Arabidopsis thaliana: one gene and its partners. The protein of the gene in region 4 interacts with the protein of the main gene of each other region in a pairwise test. Each region holds a gene or a part of one and is shown on either strand. Other genes may lie near its edges.

The links.
Region 1: the proteins of HB-2 (region 4) and MAC5B interact in a two-hybrid assay, tested with the Arabidopsis thaliana proteins (one large-scale study listed by BioGRID).
Region 2: the proteins of HB-2 (region 4) and AT2G40260 interact in a two-hybrid assay, tested with the Arabidopsis thaliana proteins (one large-scale study listed by BioGRID).
Region 3: the proteins of HB-2 (region 4) and AT4G17680 interact in a two-hybrid assay, tested with the Arabidopsis thaliana proteins (one large-scale study listed by BioGRID).

What each region holds. Positions count from the first base shown.
Region 1 is NC_003071.7:12,649,738-12,655,006, forward strand, and holds MAC5B (CCCH-type zinc fingerfamily protein with RNA-binding domain-containing protein), read left to right. Parts: upstream 1-2,088; 5' UTR 2,089-2,273; coding exon 2,274-2,378; intron 2,379-2,773; coding exon 2,774-3,043; intron 3,044-3,163; coding exon 3,164-3,387; intron 3,388-3,568; coding exon 3,569-4,421; 3' UTR 4,422-4,599; downstream 4,600-5,269. Other genes in the region: PCNA2 (proliferating cell nuclear antigen 2), read right to left, coding at 402-626, 721-818, 902-1,054, 1,543-1,861; AT2G29590 (Thioesterase superfamily protein), read right to left, coding at 4,865-5,008, 5,111-5,251.
Region 2 is NC_003071.7:16,815,907-16,820,744, reverse strand, and holds AT2G40260 (Homeodomain-like superfamily protein), read left to right. Parts: upstream 1-2,014; 5' UTR 2,015-2,271; coding exon 2,272-2,590; exon of another isoform or gene 2,591-2,714; coding exon 2,715-2,791; intron 2,792-2,885; coding exon 2,886-2,922; intron 2,923-3,047; coding exon 3,048-3,150; intron 3,151-3,230; coding exon 3,231-3,927; 3' UTR 3,928-4,215; downstream 4,216-4,838.
Region 3 is NC_003075.7:9,841,677-9,846,383, reverse strand, and holds AT4G17680 (SBP (S-ribonuclease binding protein) family protein), read left to right. Parts: upstream 1-2,049; 5' UTR 2,050-2,288; coding exon 2,289-2,386; intron 2,387-2,483; coding exon 2,484-2,554; exon of another isoform or gene 2,555-2,633; coding exon 2,634-2,884; exon of another isoform or gene 2,885-2,908; coding exon of another isoform or gene 2,909-2,956; coding exon 2,957-3,481; 3' UTR 3,482-3,774; downstream 3,775-4,707. Other genes in the region: AT4G17690 (Peroxidase superfamily protein), read right to left, coding at 1-257.
Region 4 is NC_003075.7:9,447,327-9,451,760, reverse strand, and holds HB-2 (homeobox protein 2), read right to left. Parts: upstream 2,648-4,434; 5' UTR 2,471-2,647; coding exon 2,311-2,470; intron 2,208-2,310; coding exon 1,909-2,207; intron 1,641-1,908; coding exon 1,561-1,640; intron 1,473-1,560; coding exon 1,157-1,472; 3' UTR 856-1,156; downstream 1-855. Other genes in the region: AT4G16790 (hydroxyproline-rich glycoprotein family protein), read left to right, coding at 1-14. UniProt on the Arabidopsis thaliana protein: Probable transcription factor involved in the negative regulation of cell elongation and specific cell proliferation processes such as lateral root formation and secondary growth of the vascular system.

The DNA of each region.
Region 1 (5,269 bases), on a different chromosome or scaffold from region 4:
CTTCATTGTTCTCGAGTCTATTTCTCACGCAGACAAATTCTTGTGTCTTGAAAGTTCAAATTTTTTGTTGTTTTTGCCAAATTTAAGAACAAACAGAAGTAAAGAGTGTTAAACATGTTTTTTACAAATTGTAAAAGCATCCAAAAACATCAATCAACACTAGTTCGTGAGGTTGCAGAAGCCACAAACAAACGTGTTTTAGGGCTTCGTGTCTTCTTTTTCTTCAATGTTTAACAAACAGATGAAAAGTGTTATAAACAAGCTTTTCCAAATTTCAGAAAGACAAACATCATACGATTATCTAGTTTAGCATTGCCTTAAGATAGTAAATCCAGAAAACAACTGAATCAAGACAGACATTTCAACAAAGGACTCGAACGAAGACTATCAAACATTCATCATTATTCTGGTTTGGTGTCTTCTTCTTCTTCAATCTTAGGCGCCAGATAGTATCGAATGTAACCCATCTCAGCCACCTTGTACTCCACCACGACCGGTAACTCAGAGGACAAACTGATGGTCACAGTTTCCGACAATGGAGTAGCCTTTGTGAAGGAGTTCATGTACCTCAATGCAAATGAAAGCGAAACAGGCTCGTTCATCTCTATCACAATAGCATCTTCAGGCTGCAAAACACACATACAAACATAAGGTCACTTCAACATTGTATTGGACAGATTATTAAACAAATCTCTCTAGATGACTAGTGATTGTTCATACTTTGTCGACGGTAGTATTCTGCCTGAGCACAATGTTTGCTGTCCCGATATCACCTGCTGTTGAAAACTTCACCCCTTCTTTTGTTACCGAGATCACAACTGCAAAATCATAACATCAAAACCAGAATCATGATTAGAGAATCCTCGCAGTGATACACCAAATAAACAAACAGTTCATTTACCTGTGTCACCAATGCTACTGAGATCTTTGCATATCCTGGAAAATTCACCAGAAGGCATTCTCACAATCGAGTGGTACTCAGCATCAGGAATTCCTAAATGCTCACTGTCGATATCCATCAGCTTCATCTCAAAATCTGCAATCTTGTCTTGTGCTGCATCATCAACACCATTTAAATAATGAGATTAACACCACATAGTCAATATCAAACAAAGTTCCTCTGTTAACTTTCACTAAATCAAGAAACTCTATTCACTTTCAAACTATAGTCTTTAAGCTAGAGACTATACCTATTCTGAAAACAAAAATGGAAGGACTCATTCTCATCAAGCAAGTTCTAGTTTCTGTCAAATGAAACCTATAAATAACAGTTCAGATCACTAATAACATCATTAACTACACAAAAACAAAGCCATATCAAACCTTATTCCAAACCAAAAACCCTCTATTAACATAGATTTTATCTTCTCTTTCATCTCTTACAAACTAAAGCTTTCAAGAAATGGACTGAATCATTCTCTACAATCATATTCTAGCTTCTGGCAAATCAAACCTATAAACACAGAATCAGGTCACCAATAGCATCAACATTGACAACAAAACCAAAGCCCTAACAAACAAAAATCGATTTGAAGAACTTACTGGGACTCTCAAACATGAAAGTAACAGTGTCGCTACCATCATCAGCTTTGATGGTGATGATATCATCATTTCCAGCACATTTCAGCATCTTAGACATATTACCAAGATTCATTCCCATAGAGAGGTTCCTATCGCATCTATAGTGCTCGAAACCTTCAGATCTAAGCAAAAGAGACACCAACGCGACATGGCTCGAATCCATAGCTTGAAGCGAGAACCCTGTGGTCGAACAGTCGAAGTTCGCATCGTTCACCAGATCTTTGACCGCTTCTAGAACCTTCTTCAGTAGAGAACCTTGAACTAAACGAAGCTCCAACATCTTCTGGGAAATTATCGAAAGGTTAGAGTGTGAATCGAAACGGTTAGGGTTTTTAGAGCTGTTGAAATTTCTGGGAGGAGATTGCAATTGTTAGCGGGAAGTGATATTATAAGCTGAGATTTTGTGGCGCCATTTAGCGATTTTAGGGTATTTTTGTTCCCGCCTGTGTGTGACGATGAATTATCATCTGTGTGAGTCCGTATTGTTTATTTCAGTACACCACCATCACTTTAAGCTTTCTTATTTCATGGGTTTAAATTGGGCCAAACAAACATTCGGCCCAACAGCAGCTGTAATATTAAAGATTCCCGAAAAAATCGAAACGAGAGCAAATCTGCTCTTCAAGGTAATCTTCGTGTTCGAGACTGAAGAAGAAATCCAGAAATCATTGAGGAAGGAAGAGAATTAGGAAATGGCGCATAGAATACTGAGAGATCACGAGGCTGATGGATGGGAACGTTCTGATTTCCCAATCATCTGTGAGTCTTGTCTCGGTGACAATCCTTACGTGAGAATGGTATATTCTTCGCTTCCTATGTTTCTCCTCAAACAAATTCGATTTCCTTGCCTTTAGCTAGATTTTTTTTTAACATTCATGTGTCTTTATTAAGATCTCCTTTCATTTGTCCATTTTCGAGCTTGTTTAATGCTTTTATGTTTCTTAGTGTTGAAGCTGCAATTTTAGTGATTTGAGATTTTAGGGTTTAAGCGATTTAATATACAATTCATAACCTTTGGTAAAAATCAGAATTCATGGAGTTGTAGTTCAAAATGATATCTTTGGTTTGTTCTGATCAAATTTGCTTAGAGGGAATGTAATTCATTGAATACTGTCTCATGTTATGTCTGGTAGTGATGTGCAGCTTCATGTTTGATTGATTGATTGATTTATTGTTGTTGTTTGGTATGTAGACAAAGGCGAATTACGATAAAGAGTGTAAGATCTGTACCCGGCCTTTCACGGTTTTCAGATGGCGACCTGGTAGGGATGCGAGATACAAGAAGACTGAAGTTTGTCAGACATGTTGCAAGTTGAAGAATGTGTGCCAAGTTTGTCTCTTGGATCTTGAGTATGGTCTTCCAGTTCAGGTCAGAGACACGGCGCTCAACATTAGTACTCATGATTCTATCCCAAAAAGTGATGTGAACCGAGAGTTTTTCGCTGAAGAGCATGATCGAAAGGTATGGTGACTCTGCGTTCTAACTAGTTATATTATTTGAGTATTGATTGGTTTGAGATTTGGCTATACAGTTTCTCTACTTTGTAATGGCCTATTGAAATGGTTTTGTTTTCTTGTGTAGACGAGAGCTGGACTAGATTATGAGTCTTCTTTTGGGAAGATTCGGCCCAACGATACCATTCGTATGCTTCAAAGGACAACGCCTTACTACAAAAGGAACCGAGCTCATATTTGTAGTTTCTTCATTAGGGGAGAGTGTACAAGAGGTGATGAGTGTCCATACCGTCATGAGATGCCTGAAACAGGAGAGTTATCCCAGCAGAACATTAAAGACCGTTATTATGGGTAAGCATACTTCTAACTTTCATTTTGTTTGAGTATGATAATATTGAGTTACTCCTCAATTTCTTGCTTTGGTATATCATGAAAGAGAGTTATGAAAAATACATCAGTTTGTGTGCGTAAACTGGCTGTTATTTTGGTGATATTGGAACTGTTTTCTCATCTTATTCTTCACTTCCTGCAGTGTAAACGATCCAGTTGCGTTGAAGTTACTTGGCAAGGCTGGGGAGATGGGTACTTTGGAATCTCCAGAGGATCAAAGCATCAGAACGCTTTATGTTGGTGGGCTAAACTCGAGAGTCCTTGAGCAAGACATTCGTGATCAATTCTACGCCCATGGAGAAATCGAATCCATCAGAATCTTGGCTGAGAAAGCATGTGCGTTTGTCACTTACACAACCCGAGAAGGAGCAGAGAAAGCTGCAGAAGAGCTCAGTAACAGGCTAGTTGTCAACGGTCAGAGGCTAAAACTCACATGGGGAAGACCTCAGGTTCCCAAACCTGATCAAGATGGTTCTAACCAACAGGGCAGTGTGGCTCATAGTGGTTTACTACCTCGAGCAGTTATATCTCAGCAACAGAATCAACCTCCACCAATGCTACAATACTATATGCACCCACCACCACCACAACCTCCTCATCAAGACAGACCATTTTACCCATCAATGGACCCTCAGAGAATGGGTGCAGTTAGTTCGTCCAAAGAAAGCGGTTCAAGCACCAGTGACAACAGAGGAGCTTCTTCTTCTTCTTACACTATGCCACCACATGGCCACTATCCTCAGCACCAGCCATACCCGCCACCATCATATGGAGGATATATGCAACCACCTTACCAGCAGTATCCTCCTTACCACCATGGCCATTCACAACAAGCTGATCATGATTACCCACAACAACCAGGTCCCGGTTCAAGGCCTAATCCTCCACATCCAAGTTCAGTCTCTGCTCCACCACCTGACTCTGTGTCTGCAGCACCTTCAGGATCCTCTCAGCAATCTGCTGATGCTGCTGTTACTACTGGTTCGTCTCAATAGGAACCGTTGTCAGTTAAAATGTAGTGCGAATTTCCGGCCATATCTACATTTTGACTTTTTGCTTCTGCTATTTAAAATTAGTTTCCAATGTAAGAGAAGAGAATTGTTACAGTAGTTGTAGACTCTTGTTGACATTATAATTTTGAATTTTTGATAATCCAACATACACATTAAATCCAAGCTGAAACCATAGACAACAAAATTCTCTTGAAGCTTCTTCAAATTCCTCTTTAAACAGCTTTCAATGTTGTATAGATGAGACATATCATACCATCCTCATCAACATAACTATCACAGTTACTGAATGGTTTGATCTTTATAAGCTATGTACCAAGGTTTTAGATTCACAACCAGAAAGAACAAAGGACCTAACCAAATTTACCTAACCATAATCTTATTATTGAAAACAGACATTACAGTGATACAAGACTTAAAAGTTGGACTCAGAGCTTACTAGCTTGTCTACCAAACATAGAATGTCGACCTTCCGCTATAATCTCCCCGGTCATCTTGTTTCTGACTACAACGATTGTTCCTTTATAACCTCCTCTCTCTCCTAACAATCTCGACGTTATCTCCAACTCCTCCTGAAAATTCATTTCCATTTCAATATCATATCTCTCAATCCATTTCTATAGCAAACAAACAGTCCCAAAGTACAGATTGAAAAAAGACTTGAGCAGACTTACACCAAGCTTAGCTTTTGAAAGGAATGCAATAGACATGTCCACTGAAACACTCATAGGTAAGCCTTCGCCATGTACAAGTGCTCCACCAACTTCATCCACAAGATTTGCAATCGCACCATTTGCTAAATTCTTGTCTCTGTCCTGACATTATCAAAACAT
Region 2 (4,838 bases), on a different chromosome or scaffold from region 4:
TTATTTGAAGTACAATTATATAATATATTACTTGAATTTTCTTCGGTCTAGTGTACACTGCGTATATAGTTTCTACAATCTCAGATCTTCAGTTCAAACCCTATATTATAAAAAAGTTATAGCCTTATAGGTACCGAAATTTTAAAAGTTGAGAGACATAAAACACGAAGACTTTGGTCCACGCTTAGAATTTGATTGGTTCATTTCATATATGTGTCAAGGAAAATGAATTAGCATAGTGTCGTGGTCAATTTCAACGGATTATATAACTTAGTAAATCAATACCGTAGTTAATATACCCTTTTTTTGTCAATACCGTGATTGATATTAATACTTAGCATTTGGTATCTGTTGGGTCGTATAATTGATCATGGGTTGTCTGAGCATGGAAGTAGGATTATAGGGTAGATATGAAGAACGTCATTCTAACGTAAATTATTATTGCTACACTTTTAAAACCAAAATATACGACAGCTTTAATTCTTCCTACCAATTAATAACGACGACGAAAATATACGATTACGGCTGGACATTGGGCTTCCAAAAACGATTTTGAAAAAAAAAAAAAAAACAGAAAGAAATGTCATATACCTAATTTATTTGACCGATGACTTTCACATTATCTGGTCACCATTCACAAAATTTGACACAGTACTTGCATGTCGCTTACAAGAAAAATTAGCCTGCTGATGTTAGAGGAATACAGATAGATACAATTCTGCCTTGACCCTCTCCTGGAGGCGCAAAGTTCATGACAATAAGTAAATCATATATTATACATTTTAATTTTCTCCTTTCTAAGTTCTTAAAAAAGTATGACATCCCCTACTTTGCCTACTTCCTTAATTTCACAAAAATAAAAGTATGACATACTTAATTAGAACATATCTTTTGTTTAGTATTTTACTAGTAATTTTAATAGTACGTACGCTATATAGAACGAACTAATCACCCCTGAACTGAATTCCAAACTAAATCAATTGGTTGCATGTGTGTACGTACAGAAACTCATATAATTCTCAAGTTCAATTCTGTGATAATCATGTGACTTATTAGCTTCAGTTGTTATATTCTGTATCCTAATTTATTTATTTATTTTTTAACATTTATTTGGGTTATATATAGAAAAAGAGATGTACTATTTGCATGTATATAGAGAGAGGCGCATGTGTAGATAATTATAGATAATATGAAATCGTAAGAGTAGTGGAGATGGAGACAAACCCGTGATTGTCGTTGGTGACAGAAACAAGTAGTAATATTTTCTTCTCGTGTCTTTCAGTGAAGACAGCCCAGCCAAGCACCTTTTAACTTCTGTCTGATTCCTCTCTCTATGCTCTTTCTCTGTCTATCTATCTAATTATGCTTTTGGGTTTCTTCTTTTTCTGGTTTCACAGCTTTGGCTTTGAAGTCACGAGCCCATCCCCCTAACCATCCCCTTTTATGCTTTGCTTTTCTAGTCAATTTAATTCATGAGTTGTAACGATGGAAGAAGTTTCATTTATCTAATTAATGTGTATGCCTCATTAATGTTGCCTTCTTCCTATATTGCTAAAAGCTAGTTCGAATGAAACAAAAACACGTACCAAATCCAATGAAAAACATAGATCTTCAGTTGGTTTTGAAAGAAAGAACAAAAAAAATTGTTAATGTACATGTCATATTGAACCCTGATTTATGTCATAAAATTGGTATACGTACGGGTTGATATCATGAAAACGTTTGATCTTTTACCATGAAAATGATCATTATTTAGATAAATTCAATCTACTCCTTGGAATTTCTTTTCACTCCCTATCACAACGAGATTCAAAGATTAATTGTACTAATTGACTTAATAGTTATTAACTCATTTTAAAATACATCTTATGACTGAAGTTACTAATGTTTAATGAAATTAAAAGTACCATTTTTGTCATGAGGTGTAATTCTAGATCTATCTTTCCCTAAGATGTATATAACTGTAGAAAAAACCATTGGTGTAATAAAAAGCTATATATTAAATAGAATTTAGAATATCCGTTGCCATCATATACATATTTCAACATATATGTTGAGTTGGAGAGAGAGGGGGAGAAAAAGGAATGATGGATACAAGCATCCAAAAAGTCATACACATAGACCATCAAAAGTCTTCACCTTAAATTCCTAACACATATGTATGAGTGTGTGATCTTTGTTTGATCTTTGTCCAGAGAACTCCAAGATAGACCAAAAAGGTTCAACCTCAAAACAAACAACACAAAAACAGCCAAATAGCTAGAGACCAAGATGAGATCAAGCAGCCAAAATTCTGAAAACTCCAAGACTTGTCTATCTAACAACATCAAAGCAACCACCAAGAATGAAGAAGATAAAGATGAAGAGGATGATGAAGAAGGCGAAGAGGATGAAGAAGAGAGATCTGGAGATCAGAGCCCATCTAGCAATAGCTATGAGGAAGAGAGTGGGAGTCACCACCATGATCAGAACAAGAAGAATGGAGGATCCGTGAGGCCGTACAACCGCTCAAAGACTCCGAGGCTGCGATGGACGCCGGAGCTCCATATTTGCTTTCTTCAAGCTGTGGAGAGATTGGGTGGCCCAGATAGTTGAGTTTCAATTATATATATGAATCAATATCAAGATCATTGCATATGTGAAGATCTCTAAATTTCTAGGGTTTTCTTGTTGATATTTATTTGGGGTCTCTTTCAATGATTTTGTTGAAACAGGAGCAACACCGAAGCTTGTTCTCCAATTGATGAACGTCAAGGGGCTAAGTATTGCCCATGTTAAGAGTCATCTTCAGGTTTTGCAAATATCCACATACACATAGAGTATATATCTATATACATCATTGAGATCTTCATCTGAAATCATACTTCATTTTTTTTTCTTCTTAGATGTACAGAAGCAAGAAGACCGATGAGCCTAATGAAGGTAGTTTACTTAGCTTTCTTCTACCTTCTGATTTAAGTTAGGGCTTCTATAAATCTTATAATTGAATTCGACGAGAAATTGACTAATTCTTGTCTCTCGTGTTTTATCTTTTCTTATAACTACAGGAGATCAAGGATTTTCGTTTGAACACGGAGCTGGTTACACTTACAACCTTAGCCAACTTCCAATGCTACAAAGTTTTGATCAAAGGCCTTCTTCTAGTTTAGGGTATTTACAAACTCTTCAGCTAGCTATCTTTAAACTATAAGTTAAAATTACGTGTGTGTAACTTGGAATGTATTCAATAGATATGGTGGTGGTTCGTGGACTGACCACAGACGACAGATCTACCGTAGCCCTTGGAGAGGATTAACGACACGAGAAAATACAAGAACAAGACAAACAATGTTTAGCTCACAGCCTGGTGAGAGATATCACGGAGTTAGCAATAGTATTCTTAACGATAAGAACAAAACTATTTCATTTCGAATCAATTCTCATGAAGGGGTTCATGATAACAATGGAGTAGCTGGAGCTGTTCCAAGAATTCATAGAAGTTTTCTTGAAGGTATGAAAACGTTTAACAAATCATGGGGACAGAGCCTCTCTTCCAATCTTAAGTCCTCCACCGCAACAATACCACAAGATCATATTGCTACAACGCTAAATTCTTATCAATGGGAGAATGCTGGAGTGGCAGAAGGATCAGAGAATGTTTTGAAGAGGAAGAGGTTATTATTTTCTGATGACTGCAATAAGTCAGACCAAGATTTGGATCTAAGCTTGTCCCTTAAGGTACCTCGGACACACGACAATCTTGGAGAATGCTTGTTAGAAGATGAAGTAAAAGAACATGATGATCATCAAGATATCAAGAGTTTGTCTCTTTCGTTATCATCTTCAGGTTCATCAAAACTCGACCGAACCATTAGGAAAGAAGATCAAACTGATCACAAAAAGAGAAAGATTTCGGTCTTGGCAAGTCCCCTTGATCTCACTCTGTGAATATGTATAACAACTTATATACGTATATTCTAAGTGAGATCTTGTGGTACTTGTTGATGGAAGACGGTTCTGTATTGTTGTTTATCATTCGTTGCATACTTGTGACAAGACCCATAATTAAGGAAATAATAGAGACATTTTTTAATGTTTTTTATTAAAAAAAAATTCACATAATTTTGTCGAGATCGTTAAATGCATATTTTAAAATATATATGATTTGTGATCGAGTTGGGAGCAGAAATTTGTTTTCTTCTAAATAGTATAGTAACCAAGAAATACATTAGTGAGAGTCTATATATATGGTTTTGAGAGTTACAAGACATTGCACGTTGTCTATAAGCTTGTCTAGACGTTGCAATGTATATGTAGTTTACTCTCACATAACAAGTATCCTAAGCAATATTTTTGTTTTAACATGGAGATATTGTCTGAAAATTTATACGTTAACGTCAAATCAGTGAATACAAGAAAAGAAGATGAAGACTTCCGAGTCATAGCTTTCTGAGCTATAGCATTATTATTTTTATAAAGACGAGTTTTTGCCTTCTTCAAAATCGTTTTATAAATTATTCTATGTTTTAGATTTGTAGTTGAAATTATATGAAAGGTCCGTTAATTTAAAAATCAGGTCTGCTGAATGTTTTGTTTGTATTAAAAAAACAAAAAAAAAAAAACAAATCGGTTCTGATAACCAACCAAAGTTTATTTTAATTTAGTTGCGAGGTTAATTAAGAAAAAAAGAAGACACTTTCTTTAAGAGAAAATTGGAGAGAACGACAAGAAGACAGATGTACTTGACATAGAGATATGTCTTGATCTCCTCGATAGACAACAAGCTAGTATCTGTTATTCGCATATAATCGTTTCTTATCATCTTGGGCCTTGAATAAGATTTGGCTATATGTATTATA
Region 3 (4,707 bases), 390 kb from region 4:
TTGTTGAAAGAATTTGTAGCGATAAGGACGGAAGCATCACATCCTTCCATGAAACAATCATGGAAAAAGAGACGGAGTGTTCCAGCAGCTGTCGTTGGCTGCTGGCCTTGCTTTGGTGTAACGGTTTCACGTACGATTTTATTGAAATCGGGACATGTTTTTTGGTAATAATCTTTTGTTAAATTTGGTGGTGGTGCCGAGTATATAGACGGGACAAAGACTAGGACGACGAAGAGAACATTTATAACCGAAGACATTGTGTATTTCACGAGACTCGTATCGATTTGTGAAAGAAATATTGTTTGTAAAATATGGAAACGGAATTGAAATGTAAAGAGATGTCTATGAGGTAGACTTCTTTATTGAATTGTTATCGGTGAAATATAGAAGCATGTACGTGTGGTTGGAGTTTGGCTTTTGTTATGTTCTTTTTATTTCAGTGATTGGTCTATATTTAGTTTGTTTTTACTTTCATTTTTCATTAGAAACGTTTTCTAACACTAATTCATTATAAAATCGATTGGCTTCTAGGTTAATTAAACCACAAACATGGAATGCATGCTAATTGGGGAAATGTGAAGGTGATTAATCACTCAATTGATTTGTTTTGTATTACTACTCCTGTTTTTGAAAGAATTTTGGAATGGTGATTAATCAACTAAAGCATCTACAGAAAACATTATTGATGGTTAGAGATATGAAAATTTAAATTGATAGGCTAAACATACAAGCAAACTTTTACTTAATCTAATGTTGCTCTTGATTTGAAATATAAACAAAAACAAAATTAAGAAAAATGTTGACTTCTGAGTTCTGACCACTAAAATCATGCAACTGCTTGACAATGGACATGCCATCCATCTTATATCAATTTGTTGCTTACCTTGCCACCACATTTCTAGATTTTTATGTCATCTTGTTGACATTTATTAGTATATAAATTCCTACCATTCTTTCTGACCAACATATGCTAGAACCAAATTATTTGTTGTTAGATATCAATTTTCGCTAACGTGTTACTGTTTATAAAGTATTAAATCATGCCTATATATATTATTATGTTTCATACTCCTCCAAACATTTTGATAAGCTTGATTTTCTTTTTATATATAGTTCAATTTTTGTAATCTCATGTATACGCTATGGCAATGTGTACTGATGACGAAACATTATGTACCTATATGTATCATGTGGTAAGTAGAACATTGTTTGTTTGCTAGAATATGTATGTCGCTTATCGTTTTGAAAAAGACTCACCAGCATATATATAATATGCAACTGTGAAGCATAATATCAATGAGGAAACGTGAAGTGCACCAAGGGATAATCTAATTTGATACCTTTTATTTGAAGAATATATGACGTCCGATCCATTAATGCTTTATATGCATCTAGCCATCGACATGGATCTAGACCTTTCAATAATTGACGACTCCTCCGTTTTCTTTTTATAATATCAAAAATTGGGACATTGGTTATATTGGAAGAGTGGTGAAGGATTTATCCTATACATCAAACCTAGATATGAATCCCAACCAACTATGGACCGCTATTGTTCTCTCTTTGTTTTTTTTTTTTGCTATGAAACTATGGACCGCTATTGTTAGCTTTTTATTTAGTTATTGTAAACATCTTAAATGAAAAAAAAAAAGAAATACTCGGTTCACTATATGCATCATGTAATAATAATCTAGGTTTTGGCCCAAGATCTATCTAAGTTATAATTAAAACGAAAAAAAAAAACAAAAAAAAAAAATTGAAAAAGAAAATTGTTAGGTAGCTAAAACCCTCAGGTACTACAAGATTAACGAATACATCTACAGATTATTCATCTGGAACATGCAAATATGTGATGTATCGACTGATCTAAAATGGATTAGTTTGGTTGAAAGACGGTTTGGTTTAGTTAGGTTGGAAGGGTCTTTGGGAAGAGTGTTACATCGTTCACATCTTTTAATTTTGATTCAGTCTCTAAATTATACTATATAGTCTATATTGCAACTGAAGAATGATTGAAAGAGTACTAGTACTAAGGAAAAAAATAGAAGTAGATGCAAAAAAAAAATGGTAACATTAGTGTGAATCATGCATATAATGTTGAAAGCTTTAAAAAGACCCACAAGTCTTTGTACCCTTTCGTCCCCCTCCCCTCTAAAACCTCATCTTCCCCATTTATTTCTCCCATTCTTTCTCCTTTTCTTTTTCAGTTCTTAATTCATACTTGAAAAAATCAATACATTTTCATCATCATCAGCATCATCATTTCCCATATACACAAACACACATGCATGCCCTTATTATCTGATAATGAACGCATAGGTCTCTTCTCTGATAGCTCAATGGCGATTCAAGCTCAGCATCCTTCACGTTTCTTCTTCAACAACAGGTAAAAATCTTCATATAATCATATAGTAATAGTATACGCCCTGTGTATTTATTATGTATGTGATGTTTTCAATTTCTTATGAAAATTTATTGAACAGTAACGGACAAGAAGCTAGTGATTGTTCGTTGCAGCCTCAAGACACTCCTTTCACTAATTTCACCAAAGCTGGTCTCTCTTCTCATTATTCCCATATCGTTTCCAAATTTTTTCCTTCAATTCCATTCAATCATCACCGTTTTTGAAACAGGGGTTGATTCAAGAAAACGATCAAGAGAAGTTTATTCATCGGCTCTGATGAACCCTCCACCTCCAAAACCGTCGCAAGTTATTGATATAACCGAGTTGTTGCAGAAAACGCCTAACGTGGTTTCCACTGGTCTTCGATTATTTCATGATCAGTCACAGAATCAACAACAGTTTTTTTCTTCTCTTCCCGGAGATGTTACCGGAAAGATTAAACGGCAAAGAGATGAACTAGACAGATTCATTCAGACTCAGGTGTCTTATTAAACTCGACCTAAAATGTGGTTTGGTTTGTTTTTTCTTTGTGTTGATAATTTGATTTTGCAGGGTGAAGAGTTGCGGCGTACGTTAGCGGATAACAGAGAGAGACGCTACGTAGAGTTATTGTGCGCTGCGGAGGAGATAGTCGGACGGAAATTGAGAAAAAAAGAAGCGGAGTTGGAGAAAGCCACGCGCCGTCACGCTGAGCTAGAAGCGCGTGTAGCTCACATCGTGGAAGAGGCGCGAAACTGGCAGTTAAGAGCGGCGACGCGGGAAGCTGAGGTGTCCTCGTTACATGCTCATCTCCAACAAGCCATAGCTAACCGCCTAGATACGGCGGCGAAACAGAGTACGTTCGGAGAAGACGGCGGAGACGCGGAAGAAGCAGAGGACGCTGAATCGGTTTACGTGGATCCGGAGCGGATCGAATTGATCGGACCAAGTTGTAGGATTTGCCGGCGGAAATCTGCGACGGTGATGGCATTGCCGTGTCAACATTTGATTCTTTGTAATGGATGCGACGTCGGAGCAGTGCGAGTCTGTCCGATTTGCCTCGCCGTGAAGACTTCCGGTGTCGAAGTTTTATTTTGATGATGATGAGTATTTAATTGATAGGCCCGTTATAGGCCCATGGGTCCATCCAGATCTAAGCAACAAACAAGACAACAGTACAGAAAAAGGACGTTTTCTATAGGCAAAAATAAAGATTGAAAATGAGATTTGAATTATATATAGTTGATGATGTACATAGGACATAGCCACATGTAGTGGCATTTTTTTCGTTTTGACATCTTCGTTTACTTTCTTTCTTTTGGATATTCTTCGCTTTTTTTTTCAGAAAACGTTTTGAAGAAATTGCTAAAATTGAATTCATTTACGTTAGAAATCTTACTATATTATTTGGGAAGTACATTTTAAATGTAACCTTACTTTTTGTAAATAATTACATAGGTATACCATTAGAAATAAAATTTTAAAGAGTAAATTAATTTATCTGTTTAAGGATTAAAAAGTCAAATACTAATTTAATTAATTAAATTTAATTAAAAAACGAAATACATTTTTAATTTCCAAAAACAATAACCAATCAAAATCAACATATAAGATTTGATATCTAAATTTTAATTAATTTAATTTAATTAGAAAAACGAAATACATTATTAATTTCCAAAAAAATAAACAATTAAAATTAACAAATTAGATTTGATATCTAAATTATCATATTAATTTTTTATTAATTATTATAGTTCACTTCTCATCTTTATATGATTCTATTTTTGCGAAAAAATAATATCATCATTATAAAAAAATAATTAGAGTTTTTTCGCATATGCCATAATTTGAATTTTTAAAAACGAATATAAACTGTTCAATACATGAAAAATATTATAACGGGTGAAAATAGATTTAAGAAAACTTTCTACTGAGTTAACAGGTCATAATTTGAAATATTTATATTCAATTTTATACATATTATATTAAAAAATTATAATCTTATATACTACAATAATTAATAAGATATTAGATTTTTTATGTGTATGATGTGATTCAATTTTTAACAAGCTGGAAAATCGTAAAATTGACGGGTTTAGATCGATATTAATACAAGATGGTATACTACAGGTGAAAGTCTTAAATTAACAATCAAACTACAAGTGTATAATCTTAGTTTTTTCAGTAAAGCTAAGATTGAATCCAAATTAAAATCTAATTTTGCATACAATCTATCTCTTATAATTATAAATGTTATGCATACATTCACATTGCCTCACAATCAATATAGAATATCGATTATTTCGAACAATAGATAGAGATTC
Region 4 (4,434 bases):
ATTCTTCGAGGTAGAACTCATTATTTATTAATAATAGGTATACATTTTAAGTATGTTTTGGTAATCATCATAAGGTTGTAATATTAAGGGGAACAAATATTTTTGTTACATTTATTCACCCACAAAAACAGGAATGGAGATCTATGTGAAGTATAAACAGATTGATACCCCTCTTTATGTTTCTAGATTTGAACATGATCATGAGATCATCTTTTTCGGGGTTTTTGTTCTTTGCGGCTAAAACGTTATAGATCAATGCTCCGATGAGAAGAGGCTACTCTCCAAAGAGAGTAAATCCGACACCAAGCTGCTTACATAGGAAAACATGAACCCTCATGCTCTTACCTTTTTAGCAAGACAATTAGTACAAATATTACTACTTCATGGCCTAGTATATCCTAAATACGTTAAACGTATCCAATCCTATTGATCATCTAGCATTTTCAACATCTCAGAGCAGTCCAATTCAACACCATTGAAAAATCAGAGTTTTAAATTTAACATGTAGTGGGGATAAGCACTTGCGTTAACCTTTCAAACCCAAGAAGTGGCCCATAGCCTAACCTACATGTTCAATAAGGCCTAAACTTTGCCCATACTCATGTATGACATATGGTAATCTCTTTCTCACTTATAGTTGTAATGGTAATGCCAGGAACACTTGGGCCCAAAGTATAAGTTTTAAGTTTTTAAGTTTAACAAAAAAAAAAAAAAAAAAAATCCTGGAAAAACTTTTAGAAATTTCAACTATTTTTAGCCCACTATTTAATATTTTTCACATAGCCACATGAAACAATTTGGACCATTTAATTTTCTTTTGCATTTCCTACATCAATTGTACTTCTTGGTTTGTGGCTACTCGCTAGACACTATAAATATTATTGCAATAAAGTTTCTTGTGATAGTTTTGTCCAAAATATTTATTGCAACAAAACAAAACAAAATGATTTCAAAGTCATAATATCTGATAGCATTGGCTCTAAATATTTGTTGTTACTTGTTAGCATGACACATATATGTTGGTTTAAGCTAGAAAAATATTAATCTGTTTTTCTTTCTTTCTAAGAAAATACATACATGTTAACAACTACATGCATATCTGGTCCATGAAACTTAAAAAACGACCAAAATGCCCTTTGGTTGCAAGTAAAAAGACTTAGGACCTAGGACGAAGAGCGTCAAAAGTCAAGCCGTGAGATATCCTCGTCGCAGGAGCCCACGCATTGACCGGCAACGACCGGTGGTGCGCTGACGTAGCAGCCTGAGGTTGTGGTGGCGGGACCGACACGTGTTCACATGAAGGGCACATGGTCAAAGTAGTGGGTGGGCTCATGTGCATGTAGAACTGAGGAGAGAGCTTAAGTGCTCTCAATTCCGTTACTTCTTTTTGTAGCCGACGGTTCTCTTCCGTTAGATTCTCGCAGCATCTCCGTAAGAACTCGCAGTCTACCTCCGTTTGCTTCAGCTTTGTTCTGTTAAACATTTACCAAAATACCCTTATAAGAAAATAGATAAATCAGGCAAATAGAGAGATCTTTTGTTTGTGTGTGTTTTATTTACCTTGCTCGTCTGTTCTGAAACCAAACTTCCACTTGTCTTGCTCGTAACCCTAATTGTTTAGCCAATGCTTGCTTCTGCTTCTGTGAAAAAAAGTTGAAAAAAACCTTGATATCAGTCTACATTTACCAAAATGCCATTTATAAATTAATATCTGCATTTATGAGAGACCGAAACAAATAGTAGTAGTAATGTTTTTTCTTTGGTCAACATGTAACAATAGTCATTTTAATGTGAATATTTCATTAACGCGTTCTTTTTTCGTTTCCACAATTTATCATAGCCATTAATTTTCCCAGTAAAACCAAACTTTCTCGGGTGAAACAATAAGTAAAAGAAGAAAAAAATTACCGGATTGAGAGTACTGTGATCTTTGAAGGTCTCTTCAAGAATAGCAGATTGATCTTTGGAAAGTCTAAGCTTTTTCCTGGAGTTATCACCATCTTCATCGTCACTGATTCCTCTTGAGCCTTGTGGATCTGTGTCTTCTTCTCTCTCGCTTCTTTTCCCTGTAGAGCTTGAGACTGTACTGTTAGGTGAAGATACTCCAGCGTCTTCGTCGCCGTATTCCGCTGTAGACGGTGGTCTGTTCACGTCGATTCCTCGGATGAAAGTTCTTGTTTCTTTTTGTGACGAATCTGAGTTTGGAACTGCATGCATAAGATTGAAAAGTAGAGTAAAAGGTGAGACCTTTAAGGTTTTTTCCGGGGAAAAATAAAAAAAAACAGAGGAACGAAGAAAGCGATGAAGTACCTGAAGAAGTAAAACTCTCGTTCCATGAAGATCTTCTGAATAATCCAAAAGAAGAAGAAGAAGGAGTAACAGAAACAGATGGATTTGATTTGAGATTGATCTGTTTCTTTGGAAAATTCAAGCCTAAGCTTAGACCCAGATCGTCTTTCTCGAACATCATCTTCTGTTGAACTTTCTCAAGATAAGAAAAAAAAACTCTGTTTTTGCAAATAAAGTTGTCTGCTTTTCTTTTGAGAGATAGAAGATGAGAAAGTAAAGGAAGAAGAAAGGTTAATATATAGAGAGGCAGAGAGAGAGAGAGATTTTGCAATCATGAGTATGTGACTAGCTGGGGGCAAAATAGTTATTATTATTAAAGTCAAGAATAAACTATTGAAAACTTTAGTTCAATGGAAATAATTTTATAATCACAAACTTTGCTTCTTTGTCCCCCTCTATATAACTCTCTCAAACCTAAACAAATTATCAAATCTAAGAAATTGTGATAAAATAATAATTATAGTCGCATCATTAATGATTAATGTTGATACTATATTAATGTTTATGTGACATCAATTTTCTCAGTCAAAGATGATTATCAAACTATCACTAATAGATAATTTTTAGGATATTCATAAGGCGAGAACAAAATCTAATCGTAGTTATCTTATTTTGCCTTTTGTTTACTTTTTTTTTGTTTTAAACATTTGGACTTATCACTTTTCGTTTTATTTCAACCAAATTTTCTGTTGTAGGTGATTGGTTAGATCGTTGAGTCGTGAGAATATATGACCTAGTCAAACAGAAATTTAGAAATCCTCTTTGACAATTATTGGAATTAGATCTTTCATTTTTCGATATATATCACTATCTGCAACTAATAAAGCATATAAATTAGTAAGTTACCATGAACAATTGCACATCCAACAATAGTAAAATCAAATTTTTATCATTTCCATGGAATTTATCAAATTTTAACTATGATTGACTTTATTTTATGAGATTATTAAAAGTGGGAATGATAATTTGATTGCTATTGTCGAGAAAGAGTAAAAAAAATGATTACCCTTCTTGATGACTCTAAAGGCCAAAGAGTCACGCTTGTTGCACACTTTAAAAACCTTTTACTTTTAAACATTAGTGATAAAGTTAATTAAAGAAGAACTAAACAAAAACGGTTGAATTGAATTCAAACTTCTTTTTATGAAAAAATTAAAGAATTCAAACTTCTTTTCAGATTTTCTTCTTCTAACGCATGGGTCGACCGCATGAGTTTTACTTTTGTCGTTGAACCACTTAATGACCAAAAACAGTACATTGTACCAGAATATAAAATACTACTATTTAAACTTATTAATAACTTATAATGATGTTTTCTTTTTCTTTTTGTTAACTTAATAGTGATGATGTTAATGAGGATGTTGAGAGAGTATCATCATATACCATAAGTCCATAAACTTATTTGTCTGAATGATTTTTGAGTTTTATTTGGTTTTATAAAAACTGATGTTTTGTATTATGATAACTTTCATTTCTCACCTATAACAAGTGTAAAAAAAGAAAATTAATTATTATTATTAAACTAATAAAATTAATTAAAAATGTAGAATTATGTGCATGTATAATAAAATTATTAAATCATGCATTGAGATAAACATGGGTTTCATTCGACTTTTTAAAATGAATAACATCATACATTAAGCATGGTTAGATGTTTTTGTAATGCTAAATCGTTGAATAATTTGTAAATCAAATGGTTACTTGTCAAATCATATAATTATTTCATATAGACCCATTTTGGTCATAAAGGTCGATTAATGAGCATCAAAATCGATTCCTTTTATTAGTTGCAACAAGATTTTTCTTGCCTTCAAATCCTTAAAGGAGATTAATTCAGCATTGACAGTGAAGGTCCCAGTGACACGCCAAAAGAAGAAATGATTATAGAGATTGAAAAGAAATTGACGGTCACCGATTAAACGTTGAGAAAACCAAAGGCTGAAATGACATCATACGGTTGAGAAACGTTTTCAGTGTTGTGCCCCACTTAATCCAGCTATATGCTTTGACAACCATCGAATATGATGAATGAATTGGATCAATATGATTGGAATCAGACACACAAACTTTTCGTCAATCTGATTT